3 linked regions of the Drosophila melanogaster genome follow. The protein of the gene in region 1 binds, or shares a complex with, the protein of each later gene. Each region holds a gene or a part of one and is shown on either strand. Other genes may lie near its edges.

What was found. The genes of interacting proteins can lie anywhere in the genome.
Region 2: the proteins of DIP-alpha (region 1) and dpr10 are in contact, whole or in part, in a crystal structure (PDB 6NRQ), measured with the Drosophila melanogaster proteins. Residues at the interface, in NP_001259218.1 of Drosophila melanogaster: Tyr71, Arg72, Val73, Gly74, Leu76, Ala78, Thr80, Lys81, Ala82, Ile83, Ile86, Ile91, Thr92, His93, Asn94, Met123, Gln125, Leu126, Asn127, Thr128, Asp129, Met131; in NP_001261676.1 of Drosophila melanogaster: Asn82, Lys83, Thr84, Ala86, Ile88, His90, Asp92, Leu93, His94, Ile95, Val98, Tyr101, Tyr103, Thr104, Thr105, Asp106, Glu136, Gln138, Ser140, Gln142, Val144.
Region 3: the proteins of DIP-alpha (region 1) and dpr6 are in contact, whole or in part, in a crystal structure (PDB 5EO9), measured with the Drosophila melanogaster proteins. Residues at the interface, in NP_001259218.1 of Drosophila melanogaster: Tyr71, Arg72, Val73, Gly74, Leu76, Ala78, Thr80, Lys81, Ala82, Ile83, Ile86, Ile91, Thr92, His93, Asn94, Met123, Gln125, Leu126, Asn127, Thr128, Asp129, Met131; in NP_001261675.1 of Drosophila melanogaster: Asn102, Lys103, Thr104, Ser106, Ile108, His110, Asp112, Ile113, His114, Ile115, Val118, Tyr121, Tyr123, Ser125, Asp126, Glu156, Gln158, Ser160, Gln162, Val164.

The regions. Positions count from the first base shown.
Region 1 is NC_004354.4:3,527,627-3,532,403, reverse strand, and holds the start of DIP-alpha (Dpr-interacting protein alpha), read left to right. Parts: upstream 1-1,738; 5' UTR 1,739-1,983; coding exon 1,984-2,089; intron 2,090-4,777.
Region 2 is NT_037436.4:10,183,094-10,187,799, reverse strand, and holds the start of dpr10 (defective proboscis extension response 10), read left to right. Parts: upstream 1-1,691; 5' UTR 1,692-1,875; intron 1,876-4,706.
Region 3 is NT_037436.4:9,973,066-9,977,665, forward strand, and holds the start of dpr6 (defective proboscis extension response 6), read left to right. Parts: upstream 1-1,585; 5' UTR 1,586-2,779; intron 2,780-4,600. Other genes in the region: CG42455 (uncharacterized protein), read left to right, coding at 29-186; vnc (variable nurse cells), read left to right, coding at 211-801.

The DNA of each region.
Region 1 (4,777 bases):
GGATCATCCTCAAAGCTTTCTGGTAATTTTAAATTCTCCTATCAAACTTTTTTCCTCGCACTTTCAACGATTTTCTTCGCTATTCTCCGCTTTTCCTGTGGATAATTGCCGAAAAGTTTTCGTCGTGGCATTCAAGGAATCGCACTTTGATTTGTTGCAGCGCATTTCAGCTGATGGCGGAGCAGCTGCAATTCATTTAAGCGGATCGGGTGGTAAAAATTGCGTAATGGCATAATTATGCCTCAGCCCCATTTCTCTACCCCAGACCCATTCATCAGCAAAAGTCTGAGGCGTAATTGAGTTATTTAATGGAAAAGTTGAAGACACTATCCACAATTTAAGATGACTGGCATCCGCTGACATTTAGAATCTAGCGTCTATTGGATAATTAAGCCACTTTGTGATAGCTTTGACAGCCCTGACTTTCGGTCCTGTCACATCGTGGCCAAAGATGTGGTCCCTCCCCCAGCGAATTTGTGACGCCTCTGAGGACCCAAAAAACTGACAGTTAAAGTTCAATTAAATTCCAGTGCAATCTACCTATTTTCCCGACATTGAAATATTGAAAATTATGTCAATTGGGATTTCGATTGGGATTGTGTCGCCTGCTTATCTGACAGAATGCAGAATGCACTTCGAAACTTTTTCCGCCCAACGCTGGCAAAGTTGCTCCTTTCGATGGCCAAATGGAAATGGGGTATTGTTGGGGTGGTTGATCAACCACCGAATGTCAGCTGGAGGCCAGTTCGAAACGGACAACTTATGAGGACCTCCGGGAAAAGTAATTGGCCATGCATATGCGAAACTCAAAATGATTCAAGCGCATTTTGTAGACCAAATTGCATACGTAAATCGATGTGGAATGTGGCTAAGTGGTTGTACCAACAAATTTGGCACAAAAGTCAGGGTTCAATAATGCAAATCAAGTAATTGATCTGCAGCTGAGAATATATCATTTCATTTGTTTCAAATCGTAGGGTTACGTTTTCTGTGACATAAAAGTATTTGGTTAGATATTTTGCATGTCACTATTAGCAATAATATTATTATAAAACTGTATTATCTGCGTGGAAATTATATCGGTTAGCAAAATCGGTAGCCCTTAACCTTTGATGAGGCCCATTGCGATGAGGCTTTCTAAAGAAAGGTGCACATATATAGCACATAGTGCTTGCTGAAATTTTTAGTGGTCTCACTAACTCGACTTGAGTTCTTGGTGAAATGTTGTATCCCAGGGACCTGTCGCAATCTCGAGTTCTTCACAACTGGCGCCCAACGCGCGGACCCTCCTGTCACTCCATTTGGACGCTGTGGTCGCAGGAGATTCAGATTCTGCCAGGCGGTGGCCAAATGCCACCACAGCTTGTAGCAATTGTCGTACCATTTGTCAGACGAATGTGGATGACACTCCTCCTCCGAAGGACACGGCGCCTGCGCCGCCAGGACATCCCCCCGCCGGCATCTAAGAGCTATGCGTTCCACCACGTGCCCGCCATGTGGATCGCATTCGGCACATGGTGGACGGCGTTCGATTCGAACATCCACTTCGACAATTGGCAACGAGGGTTCGTCAGCAGGACATTCGGGACGGCTGTTCGGTTTTACAGTATCCAACGGCTAACGATTACGACAGGACTTCGTGTCGCTTCGTTCGAAGCTCGTGCCATTTCGGTGCCGTCGATTTGTTCGTTTTCGGTCGTCCTCGAGGCCACAGGATGCTTATTCCGGCAGCTGCATCTTCAGTTGATCAACGTCGGCGCTGTCGGCTGGTTGAAAAACAGTCAAACGGAACTCGAAGCTGCACTCTCGGAATACTCGCGTCTTTAAGAAATAATTATTAATATAAAAAAAAAAAAATACTCTAAAGCATATACATTTGGGTGAATATTTTTTTTAACATTTTTTTAGTGCAGTGAAACTGTTTTTTTTTTCTCCGCGTGACGATCGCAAATGTGTTTGTGTTTGTGAAGTTATTGAAACCAAATGCCAGTCTCGGCGAAACGCTTACTTCGGAATTTTCAGTTCACCAGCTGCGATCGGAATGGCAAAATGTTGATTCACCTGCTGCTCATCGTTTCGCTTCTGGAAGGTAAAAGGATCATTAGATCATTAAAAAAATATCGAAAAACGGATTGTACAAAATGTTGAAAACTATTGCGTGTGTTCTTGATTAATACAATATTTCGAATTGAAAATAAAAAAAAACCCAAGGCCGAAAAGAAATTCCTTTACAATTCGAGTAAATTGATTTTTGGTCTGTCATAGTTTCTTCATAAATTCTTCACCTAGAAACTGTTAAAAGTTTCCGACAAACTTATTACCTATAAAGTAAAGTACTACTTAAAAATCGACGCTGATAATAATACTAAAAAGCTGGAAAATGGTCATAAATAAAATATTCTCTTATTCAAAGTTTAATTTGTTTTAGTATGTAATATTTTCAAAGCGGATCGTTTTAATTACCGTCGGTCCGCTCATTTAAAAAGAATTCAGAAATATTCTGCATCAATTAAAAATAAAAATTTATCAACTATACTTCAGTATAAAAATCTGTTAAACTTGTTCAATCAGCTGAAAACTTAATTTTTGGTGCTGCGTAATGCAACCAAAGTATTACATTAAAAAAAAATTCAGATCTGGTCAGTGAGCTGGCTTTTGGCCTGATCCGTTTGAAGAGTGCTTATAGGAGTTATCGGGAGCTTATCAGGTGTTTATCGTAGCCGCATTCTGCCCGAATGCAACCCTGCAATCAGTGTTGTGCAGCGACGGAAACGGAAATCGAACGGACGGACGCAATCCGGCGGGAAAGCGAACGCAAACCGACTTGATAATTGTTTCGCCGTATTGCGGCGCCCTATTGAAACCCCTAAATGATAGGTAGAGCGGGGAAAACAGGCGATTAATAACTGCTGGAGACTGCTTAATGCACTGTCATGGATACCATTCTCCATATTGCATTTTGCCCGCTGCATTGTTGCCATTGCCATTGGGCATTAAAACGTATAAATAACAAACAAATAAATAAATAAACAAAAGACAACGCGCAACATCGAAAACTGAACGCTGACCATTCAATGGCGATTTAATTGACTCACTCATCCACTTACATTTACATTTACATCTGCACTCACATTTTCAGAACTGATCCCACTGATATCAGGATTCGAGCCAAATCTGTTCAACGCGATTACAGTATGTTTCGAAACTATAGAGCGGCTTAAAACACAATGATAGCCGGTAATGATAGTAAATACAATTTTTATTAAGATTTTTAAAATGTTTGTTGAACAAATGTTTGTCTCTTTCATTAAAACTACCTTCAGATGTCGTTTAATTTTAGCGATACACTGTCTGGTCACTGAATCGTGCGCACATATTTCTCGCCTCATTTTAATTGTGCAAAAATTATGTTTTCACCTTGCCCACTTTCCCGCCGTTACTCCCTCCCCCCCCCTTACCACAATATTCCCTGGGCAAATTTTCACCTGGCCGCCGGTGATTGCTGTTCCGATTGTCTGACCATCGTATGATAATTATAAAAAATGAAGTGCCAAATTGTTCACGTCGGCGCGACAATCACAAATACTTTCCTTCCTCGCATTAAATATTTACGGCACGGTCTTTATTGTTTGCGATTCAGTCTAAAAACAGTTGGCCCATTGTTTTATTCCCCAGTCAATGTGGTTAAATCGTATCATTAATTTTGATTCGCTTGGGGCTTTCCGAATGGGCCGAAGTAGATTTTCCAAAATCGGTGGGGCTGTTAACCGAACTAATTCCGAAATCAGCTTTATTATGACTCAATAAAACTTTAATAGACAAGCCAGCACTTATAAGAACAATGCGTGCTAAACTGTTTATTATGGCATATAAATTGAGAACCGAATACTTATGCAGTTCAAAATGCTTGTACCAATACCAAAATGTTTGTACAAAATCGTTTTAAAATATTACAATTCGCTTAATATTAAAGGTTATTTAAAATATGAACCGACCAGCCTTTGGATCAAAATCTATTATTTAACACGTGTCAATGGTGCGAAAATGCCTCGACAAAACCTCAGGAAGTCCAACTAGTAGCAAAACTATTCCCATAATGTTGATAATTATGCATGGACGTGGCCCACGCTTCGTGGGCTCGGTTCGCATAAATACGAAATACATACATACATACATGCATGCAGATGTGCATATTTAAAGCACTTAAATCACGGCAAACAATAATTCCCATGCGACGATAATGCCGCAGATGGAAATGCTGGATGTAGGATGTAAAATGGCAGTTGATAATGATAAACATAAAAGTGAAAATAATTTTCAATTACAGCAACATTAATAACCGATAATAATCCTAAGCAAATATAATGTGCATGTGCGTGTTTGTTACTGTGTGTGCATATCAATGATATGCAAATTAATTGCCAAACACCGACACCCACCGCCCCGCCCCCCAAGGACCACGCCCGCCCACCGGATGTGAAATGTAAGCTAAACCGCAGTATGGCCAAATGGCGGGAGCGAGATAGCGCCATTAATGGCCATTCTGTTGCCGTCCCACGAGTGACTTAATTGATACCAACAGCACCGGCCGTAACCACGATTTTTTGCACGCATGCACGGTGAAATAACAGAAAAAAAAAATATGCTTCTCTCACTTCAATTATTATTTTTGATAATTGCTATTTATAAATATCATTAATTTTTCATTAAATCCGCCTCCAAAATCCTTGAGACTTAAAATTCTTCCAGTTAAAATTGCGTACTTTTAGATTCTTGT
Region 2 (4,706 bases), on another chromosome or scaffold:
TTGATAACTGGAGAAATGTTCTGCGCTCGAGTTGGTTAGGAGTTGTGGTAAACTTTACCGAGATGGACTCACAGCGGGTGGTGGATGCTGAATGGCAGCATGAGGTGGCCAAGGTCAGCGGAATGTCGGGCCATAATCGGCTTGTTTAATTAGCTCACTAAGCCCCACCTGGATGGGCATTATGTGGCTGTCGGAATAAGATGCTCTGATTGAAAGTGCCGCGTGGCTTGCCACAAAAGCGACAACTAATTGCCACATAATCAACAACAGCACAGCAGCACAAGCAGCCGCAAAAACAAGGGACAACTAAAGCCCAAGGCCGCAGGCGAGGTTTTTGGCTGGTTCTAGGCATGTGGGGTGGTGGTGCGGGTGTCACACAACTGAGTGGGTGGATTTTGAACACTTGCGCTTTTTACCAACTCAATTTACGCTAATTACTGCCTTTCGCTCCAGCGATAACTGCTGTCAGCTGGCTTGCACCCCGCCACTTTTCCCGGATTTTCATCATCCCGATACCGCATTCCCTTCAAAGAGCGGGAAATCCCTTAGCCGGCTACACAGTTTCCCATCTGCCACGCATATCCATACGCCGCGCGAATTTATATTGTCATTAGCTCTTTTTGTGCCAGCTTCAGTGTATATTATTGAAATCCCTGCCTTCTGGCCATATTATCCAATTCGCTGTTAAATCGTGGAAGAGCTAGTCTAAGAGCACCAAAGAATTGTTCAGTGCATGCGCACTCTTTGCCAAATTCCATACAATTTCTCTTTGATACTGACCTAAGTCTGTCAGTCTTGCTCAAGATATTGTCCAAGGCAGACGGTTTGCTTCCCTTATAGAGACGAAGTACCTAAATATAAATAAATGAGAACGTAGCATGCACAAAGCGTATATAATAATGATAATTTAATATTAAATTATCTAAAATAAATGAATATGTTCTTGGGAAAAATATTATAACTTTTCTCATTTATTAAAATTGAACTTAGGATCTTATGGAAGTATATGAAATAACATAGTTTCCTAAATTCAGTTAAGTAAGCATATAAGCAAGTAAAAAATAAATGGGATCAATAAGACATTATGTTGTTTTTGGGTTTTGCTATAGTGATTATGTTCTTTTTATGATCCTTCACTCCCTCAACCGGATTAATTCTTTTTATTTCAAGTTTCAACTAAAATGGCTTAGATTATTTTTTTTTAAGAGACCTATAATAAAGCACTCTAGCTGAAACATAAACTGAAATATTACTCTGCTTTTAAGAACTGGAATCCCTACGTGTCACTTAACTTCACTGCATTAAAATTAACTTAACCCCTTAAAAACAGGATCGTAAAGTCCGCTTTTATTTGCTTTGCGAACATAATTCGACCTCAAAAAACACCCTGCTGCCACTAAAAAAATAATCGCGGATTTCCAAAACTATTTGAAACCTTTTATTGTAAGACCTTGAAAGTGAACATAGTGTTGTGATTAAAAGAGAAGAGGAAATTAAGAGAGATAAATGCGGCGAATTCAGCTGAAATGCTCGGCACACGATTTTTCCGTCCCTCTTTTCCAACGACTTTTCCCGAGCCGAAGACAACAAACCCGAAGCGTCGCTGATAAAGGCTCGTATGAGTTCGGGAATCCCCCCCGGAGGCCCCAACAAATGCTCCACTGCTGCCAGAAATCAGTTTCAGTTTCTGTTTCAGTTTCAGCGCGACATCGACGGTGAACGAAAGGCGAAGGCGCGGAAAAGCGCGTGAAAATCCGAATAAAAAGTTGAGGGAAATGTGAGGCCCAAATACGTGAGGCGCGACATTTTCCGGACTATAGTGTATGTGTGTGTGTGTGCATGTGCGTGTGTTTCTGTGACTCGAGGCTAGAGAGTGTGAGTGCAAACGGATAAGAAAAGCGGGCACAATTGGGTCGTAAATTTTGGAAAACGTGTGAAAACGCAGGAAAAGCCTCATTGCCCCATTGCCGGCAGTCGAAAATTGAATGACCTTTTGTCGCTTTTTTTTTGTTATTCCAGTTACTGTTACTGCTGTTGCTGCTATTGCTCTTATTGTTAAGCTAAAACGCTTTCGGCACGCGAATATTTTACGACATCGTCTCCAAAAATTATACACCTAAAAAAGAAAAGTAATCAGAAATCTAACGAAATTCGGTGCGTGTCAGCTGCTTGCCAAATGTGGGGCCAGAAAAAATGCAGGAAAAGAATTCTGTCTGCGGACAAACAAATTATAAAAGTGTTAAACGCCCACACAACGTCCTCCAGCCCCGCCCCTTGGCCATCTCATTAGCATGCAGCAAATTAAGTTGTTTTATATTTAGACCGCCAAAGGGGAGCCCAGACCCCAAATACAAATTAACAAATTAAAACAACACACAAATGCCAAACAAAAAACAGAACCAAACCATCTTTGATCTGCGTCAAAACAAAAAAAGCGCTGCCACAAATATCGAGCGTTAATACATTCATTTCTGTGTAATCTAATATTCCGGCCGAGGGGAGACACTAAAAGAATGTGACAAAAATTAATAGAAAACCCATAAAATATTAACGGAAAACAAGTGTGCATTGAAATTTACGACAGACTGATCACAGTGCGTATGCGCAATGTGCGTCGCCGCAAGAACCGAAATATATCTCTCGTATGGGTATGATAAGATGTTGTGGCTGTTGGGGAAAATTAAGTTTCCTTGGGAAAAAACTTTCGCTTGTCTCAACTGCAGTTGTTGATGGAAAAGTTTTGTCGAGTGCCAAGCACTTTGGCTTTTCAACGATTTTACTTTTGCCCGCCCCAGCACCATTGTGTTGTGGTATCAACTTTTGAGGCCACGAGCTTATGTGCAATCCTTGCCTGACATCCCCAAACACAATTAAATTGTTTCCTTTCTTTGTTCTCGCACATAATGCCATGTAGCCAATAAAATGTGAAACCCTTTCTCAATAAAATATTCATACAGCAGGAATTAACCGGCACACAATGGGGCAGAAACAAAAGCAAAGATTGCCCACGGGCATTGGGTGGGTGTGGGTAGGGCAAATTAAGCCCACCCGGAACTAGAGTTGCCTCCTAATCACAGTTACTAAACATTAGAGCAGACACTGCCCCCAAGCTGAGAGGCAAAATGCAGACGCTTACAATTAGAAAGAGTGGCAAGAGGACTCTCAGAAAGAGAGGGGGGATAGTGGCAACGAAGGAGATGGGAATAGTAGCAATTGAGTGCGTTAACACTTTTGAGAGACATTGCTGACGTTGGCAGGAGTCTCAGACTCCGTCCCTGAATCCCGAATCCTTCCCTCGAGAACCTGGCCCTCCTGGTTCGCACATTCTGGAACCCCTGGCCCCTCCCTAATTCCATTACGGAGGCAACAGTGACAAGTGGCCAAGGATTCCAGCCAGGATTCCCAACAGGAGCAGCATGTCAGCAGCAGCCACTTCTGATTGAAGTCGCACACAGAGGTTTCTGCAGGCAAAAAAATTAGAGATCAGGGATCAGATCCTTTTTAAGGATTTGCTTTAAAACTATATATTTTTTAAAATATATACATGAGATATCGTATAAGCTGCTTAGCAATATTGCATTAAAATGTATATTTTATATCAATGATTTATGATGGCAAGAGTTTGTGCATTGATGATTCATAAATTTTTTATTGTTTGAAGTTCTTTTTTGAAGTCCTTTTATAATATTTGTTTATTTTTAATCAATAAATCTAAATAATTGTTATACAAAATCTTATTCAATTGTTTCCATTATACATAATTAGTTTCCATTGTTTCATGCGAAAATCTTTCCATTGTTTCACTGTACCGGCTGATTAATTTTTTCTCAGCATGTCGAATGAGTCCTGCAGTTGAACTCAGACCTTAATCCCATCCCCCTACTCATTAGTCTGTCTGTCGTCTCTTTGGTGCAGCGGAGTTTGCAATTAATTAAGTTTTAATTAATTTCACACAGTGCAAGAGGGAAAAATTCGAAAGGAAAACACACACCGTGTTTCAAGGGGCGTGTGAAAAAGGCAATTCCCCAGCAAATGTTTAACAAATTAGATGTGAGGAGAAGTGCCCGAGTAGCATAAAAGTTTTTCCCCTGGGCAGGGCAATTGATTGATGCCAAAGTGAATGGATGGATGGCAGCAGGTCTGAAAATAGCCTCAGCCGGAAAATGGGGCGTTACTGCTTTGAACAGTTCTCCAAAAACGACTCATAATTTTGGGGTCGTGGGGGCGTTGAATTATTTTCGGATCCGGACACATGCCACCGAAGTTTTAGGAAATGAAATATGCAAGGGCAGCTGACCAGAGACACTTCAATCCAACTTCTGTCAAAAATTGATTCTGGTTTATGCATTAACCATTATTAATTGTATGATGTGAGCATGTCCTTCAAGGGAAACTGGATTGGGCGTGTAATGTTCTTCTAATTTGTGGTGTAAACTTTTGTGCGCTCATGGAGAGGGAAAAGGATTCCATTTTAGGCCACTCACCTATTGAAATCAATAGTGGATTGCTTAGAGAAAGAGCTGTTTTATTGGTTAGCAGAATTTCTAGAATCTCTTCGAGAAAATCCTTGTTTTTACCATAGTTTATTATCCATTAAAGTCTGTTATTATCCATTATCAGCCCTAAAATCAACACAAATTTAATCAATTCATGTTCCACGACATCAAGGGTGATGCGACGAAAAAAAAAAAACAACGAGACCCGGA
Region 3 (4,600 bases), on another chromosome or scaffold:
GTCATATTGAAATTTGTCTATTTTGCAGGCTGGTTCCTCATCTGGAAGGCGTTTCTATCGAAATTTCGTCTGGTTCGAGAGCTGTTGGGTCAGGAGGAGCCGGAGGATCAGCAACCACTTGCTTGGGATCATCAGAATCAACAGCCACACCACCACGGCAGAGCCAGGAAAGCTCGCCGAGACTAGGAAGCACATCTACACAGCCTCACCATGAACATCCGCTGCGCAAAACCGGAAGACCTAATGACCATGCAGCACTGCAATCTGCTGTGTCTACCCGAAAACTACCAGATGAAGTACTACTTTTACCACGGACTAACCTGGCCTCAGCTTAGCTACGTGGCCGTTGACGACAAGGGCGCCATTGTGGGCTATGTCCTGGCCAAGATGGAGGAGCCGGAGCCCAATGAGGAGAGCCGCCATGGGCACATCACCTCGCTAGCGGTCAAGCGTTCCTATCGGCGATTGGGCCTGGCCCAGAAGCTCATGAATCAGGCCTCCCAGGCCATGGTCGAGTGCTTCAATGCCCAGTACGTGTCCCTGCACGTGAGGAAGAGCAATCGGGCTGCCCTGAACCTCTACACCAACGCCCTCAAGTTCAAGATCATCGAGGTGGAGCCCAAGTACTATGCCGATGGCGAGGATGCATATGCCATGCGACGCGACCTCAGCGAGTTTGCCGATGAGGATCAGGCCAAGGCTGCGAAGCAGTCAGGCGAGGAGGAGGAGAAGGCGGTCCACAGATCCGGCGGACATGGCCACTCGCACAACCACAGCGGTCACGATGGCCATTGTTGCTGAACACTTTCGCTGCCGGCGCTTGCTGGCTTCGACGTTTTTTGCATTTTTGTGCATTAGGGTTTTGTAATTATTTAACAATAAAAAACGTAACTAAAATTAAAACAAAAGTAATGACAAAAAGATAATGTTTTTAACAATAAAGGGTTTGAAGGCCATTAAATCAGTAATAATAATACTATTTACGGTTTCTGTTTCTAATTGCCAATCTAAAATGCATAAATGCATTAAACACCTATTAAGACGAATTTTTTGATTTTATTTTGAGTAGAGTTTTAGAAGAGAGTGGTTTTCTAAACTCCCCAAATAATTTATAATATCTACCATTCTTTTGTGCTAGAGCTCTGGTTAACCCAAGTAATGCGAAAATTTATGCCAAATGTGGGTTAAAAAATGTGCGCTTTTTGTAATGTGAAAAGTTTGTTGGCCCGAAAAGTTGGCCAAGCGGAAAGATGTCTTTATGTGCGAAGTGTTGACTTTCGCGCCAACTTTTGGGTGCCATCAAGTTGTAGGTGTCGTGTTGGTGGAGAAACTTTTATGGCATATGAAAATAGCTAGCAACCGTTCCCACTAAACCGATTTTCCAGTAACGGAGCTTTCTAATTTCCCAGTTTCCCGCGGCGAGCTCCTTTTGCGCATGCTCAGTGGAACATCTGCGGCAACAGCTGTTCGCTAGCCACGTGGAGTACGGTACTTTTCCGGATGGCGCCAAAGAGAGAGAGCGAAAGTACCGCAATCACAGCTGAGCTGAGATGCTGGCTTTTCGCGTATTTCGCCGTTCTTAAACTCAGTTCGTGAGGCGCTGGCTGAGCAAAAACAACATGTATGCGGATGTTTTATCAGTTTTCGGCTAGCTACGTAAAACGTGCGCAAAACCCAAATCGGAACTTCAGCTATTGTAGTGAAAAGTGCTAATAAAACCCTAACGGTAAAACCACTCTTTACAACGGGAGAAGAGGAAGAACGAAGGAAGTAGTGCTACTGCTACTGATGGGTTATAAAAAACTAACGGGAAATGACTGGCATTTATTATGATTGTGGAAAAAACGCCCTGCCAAATCAATAAAAAACGCGGAAACAACAAACAATAAACAATTCGTTAGTGAAAAGCGCCGTTAAACATATGGAACTGTGAATGTGTTGAGGGAAAGTGCTTAAAGTTCCAACGGTAAACATACTTTATTGATGCGAAAGTTAAAGCCAATTGATAACCCCAATCGAATGAGAGCCTGATTTGTATTATATTTGCGGGCTATAACGCCTTGCTAAATCAATAAAAGCCAGGGCACTTCAGCAAACCCTTCATTCGGGCAATCCTCAGAACCCTCAAAACAGTCACGGACATAAATGTAAGCGCTTTTGGTGTTGAAAAGCCAAAAAGCCGGCCAGTGGTTCAAAAAGCCGGAGAATGGAAGCCAAGCCTCTGCTCTTCTCGTGTTGTTATTGTCGAAACGGGGTCAAAAGTTCGTGTCTCACTCGCTAATTCAACCACACAAAAAAGCGCACACACACTCGCACACTCGTACACCACCCAGATAACGGTTCCTCAAGTGCAAGCAAAGACACTGCGTCGCCCGTCTGGCAGAAAAGCATGAAAAAAGCATAAGAAAAGCATAGTAAAGCAGAAGAAAAGCAGACAAAAGCATTAGCCAAGTGCCAAGTAACTCAAAACTGCAGGCCTACCAAAGCCAGGGGAAAACCCACATACATACATACATAAATATGTATTTGGAAAACAACACCAAATCGCAGACAACAAACTAGGCCAAATTCCGCGGGGAAGCGGGAGAAAGCTCAATTGAAAAGTGCTCTGAAAATGAAGAGAAGTAAAATATAATAAAAATAAAACAATAGAAGTTCTCTGGCCATTTGTCAATGACTGGGCCACTCGCGTGACTGGCGATCCTCGGGGAAAGTGGAATAACTGCAGCTGCAACAGACTCCAGACTACGGCAAAAGGACTATTTCGAAAAATATTGTGGTAAGTCAACAGGATTTAGGCGGGCACTTTGCAGTAAAAGGTACCAGCTACATTACACCAATTATTGCAAAGTTTCCATCAAATTATATTGAAAAAAAATATATAACGTGTTAGGCTAGATAACATAAAGTTTAAATGAAAACAGATAGATAATGCGGTACTGTATCACATTTATCATATTCTATACATTTATGCAAGTAACTCACAAAAAATCCATTCGCAGTAATTTGCCAAGAATGCCAGAAGTAACGCCAACAATTTCTCGGGTTATTTAAATATGACTGTAATTTGAGCAAATGTCTCTTGAAAACTTATTTTCCCTTGATATGAAAATACACAGACTTCAGCGCACATGCTATCTGTACGAACTTTTCCTCACTTGTCAGCGGGAAGGCATATTTATTTATTTAAGTTTGCAGTGCCTTTTCCGCCTTCGCCGAAAACTTCAAAAGGCAACTCCACTATGTGTGGATGGTGTAATGACATTTTGTCAGCAGGATTATGCCAAATGCTGGCCTCCATCCCAACATCCCCTCATCGCCCTGCTGATGATGAGCCCCAAACATAACCATCGTCGTCGTCGTCATCATTGTCTTTGTCACTGTCAACGCGTCTTGCATCTGTCAGTGGCAGCAGAAGCATCCGATCCCCAAACGCCAGTCCCCCAATCTACCCCGCCCACCAAGAAAACCATCCAAAAACCCATCCCATTTCGAAATTCTTGTTCTTTCGTAGGGGTTCGCATCATTTTTAAGCAAACATTTGCCGTAGCTTCAGTTCTGGTCCTTCCTTCTCTTTGGCACTACTGGCTGTTTGTTCGTGTTGTTTCTGCTGCTCCCGTCAAGTGTTTACTACTTTTTGTGTGCTGTTCTGTGTGTTTTTGTTGCTGCCGACTGGCGGTACGTGTTGGCTCACAAGATGTCAACAACTTTGCTTGCCACTCGCTGAAAAACGCCAGCTTTCTTGCAGAGCAGCGCAGGGTACCGCATCTGCTTTTGTTTTTTTTAATGCTGCTTTTTCTAGCCACGTTGATGAAATTAGCAATTTGATTAATTTCCTCCTTTCTATTTTTTTTTCCTTTCCTTAATTTTTAGAACATGAATACAAATAAGAAAAGTATTGTCTTGAAGAAATTCCGATATACATAGGCAAATCAACATTCTCTAAAACATATAATCTTATTTATTTGTTCTATCCATAAGCTTGTTTCATAGCCAGACCACAATTTCAAAGAACTTTTGCATGATGCTTGTAGGATAGTTTAAGTAATAAGTTAATAAGACTTGAATGCCTATTGATCCGCTGTAGAGCAATGTATCTGTGTTTTGTTGCATAGGCGACAGGCGCAGCTGTCAAAATGCTTAGCAATGGCCACGTGGCATCCGTTGGCGTTTCCGCTTGCCATTTCCGTTTCCGCTGGCCGGCTCTCTGGTCATCTCTCTCTCTGACGCAGGCAAGCAAAGGTGATTGATGGCCGCACTCGCACTACTAATTAAGGTTATTTAGCGAGTGCTCCTGGCCGTGGCCATTTTTCATTCCCGACGCGTTCTCGTTTTGTGCGGCTGTGGTCGTTCTACTCCAAGTGTTTATGGCTTCAATTCAATTAAACAACTGGGTCAGTTGTGGTCGCATTGGCACAAGGGCTTCCGCATCCGCATCCGGATCCGCATCCCCGTCGGGATGGCGGGAATCAACTTTCAGCGGCGTAATTAATTCTCCGACTGGGCCATCGGAGGACAAAGACGCATCATAAGTAAGGCGGCGGCAAAACAAGAAATAGAGCTGCCAGCAAATTGCATTTATAATTCATTTACTCGAAAT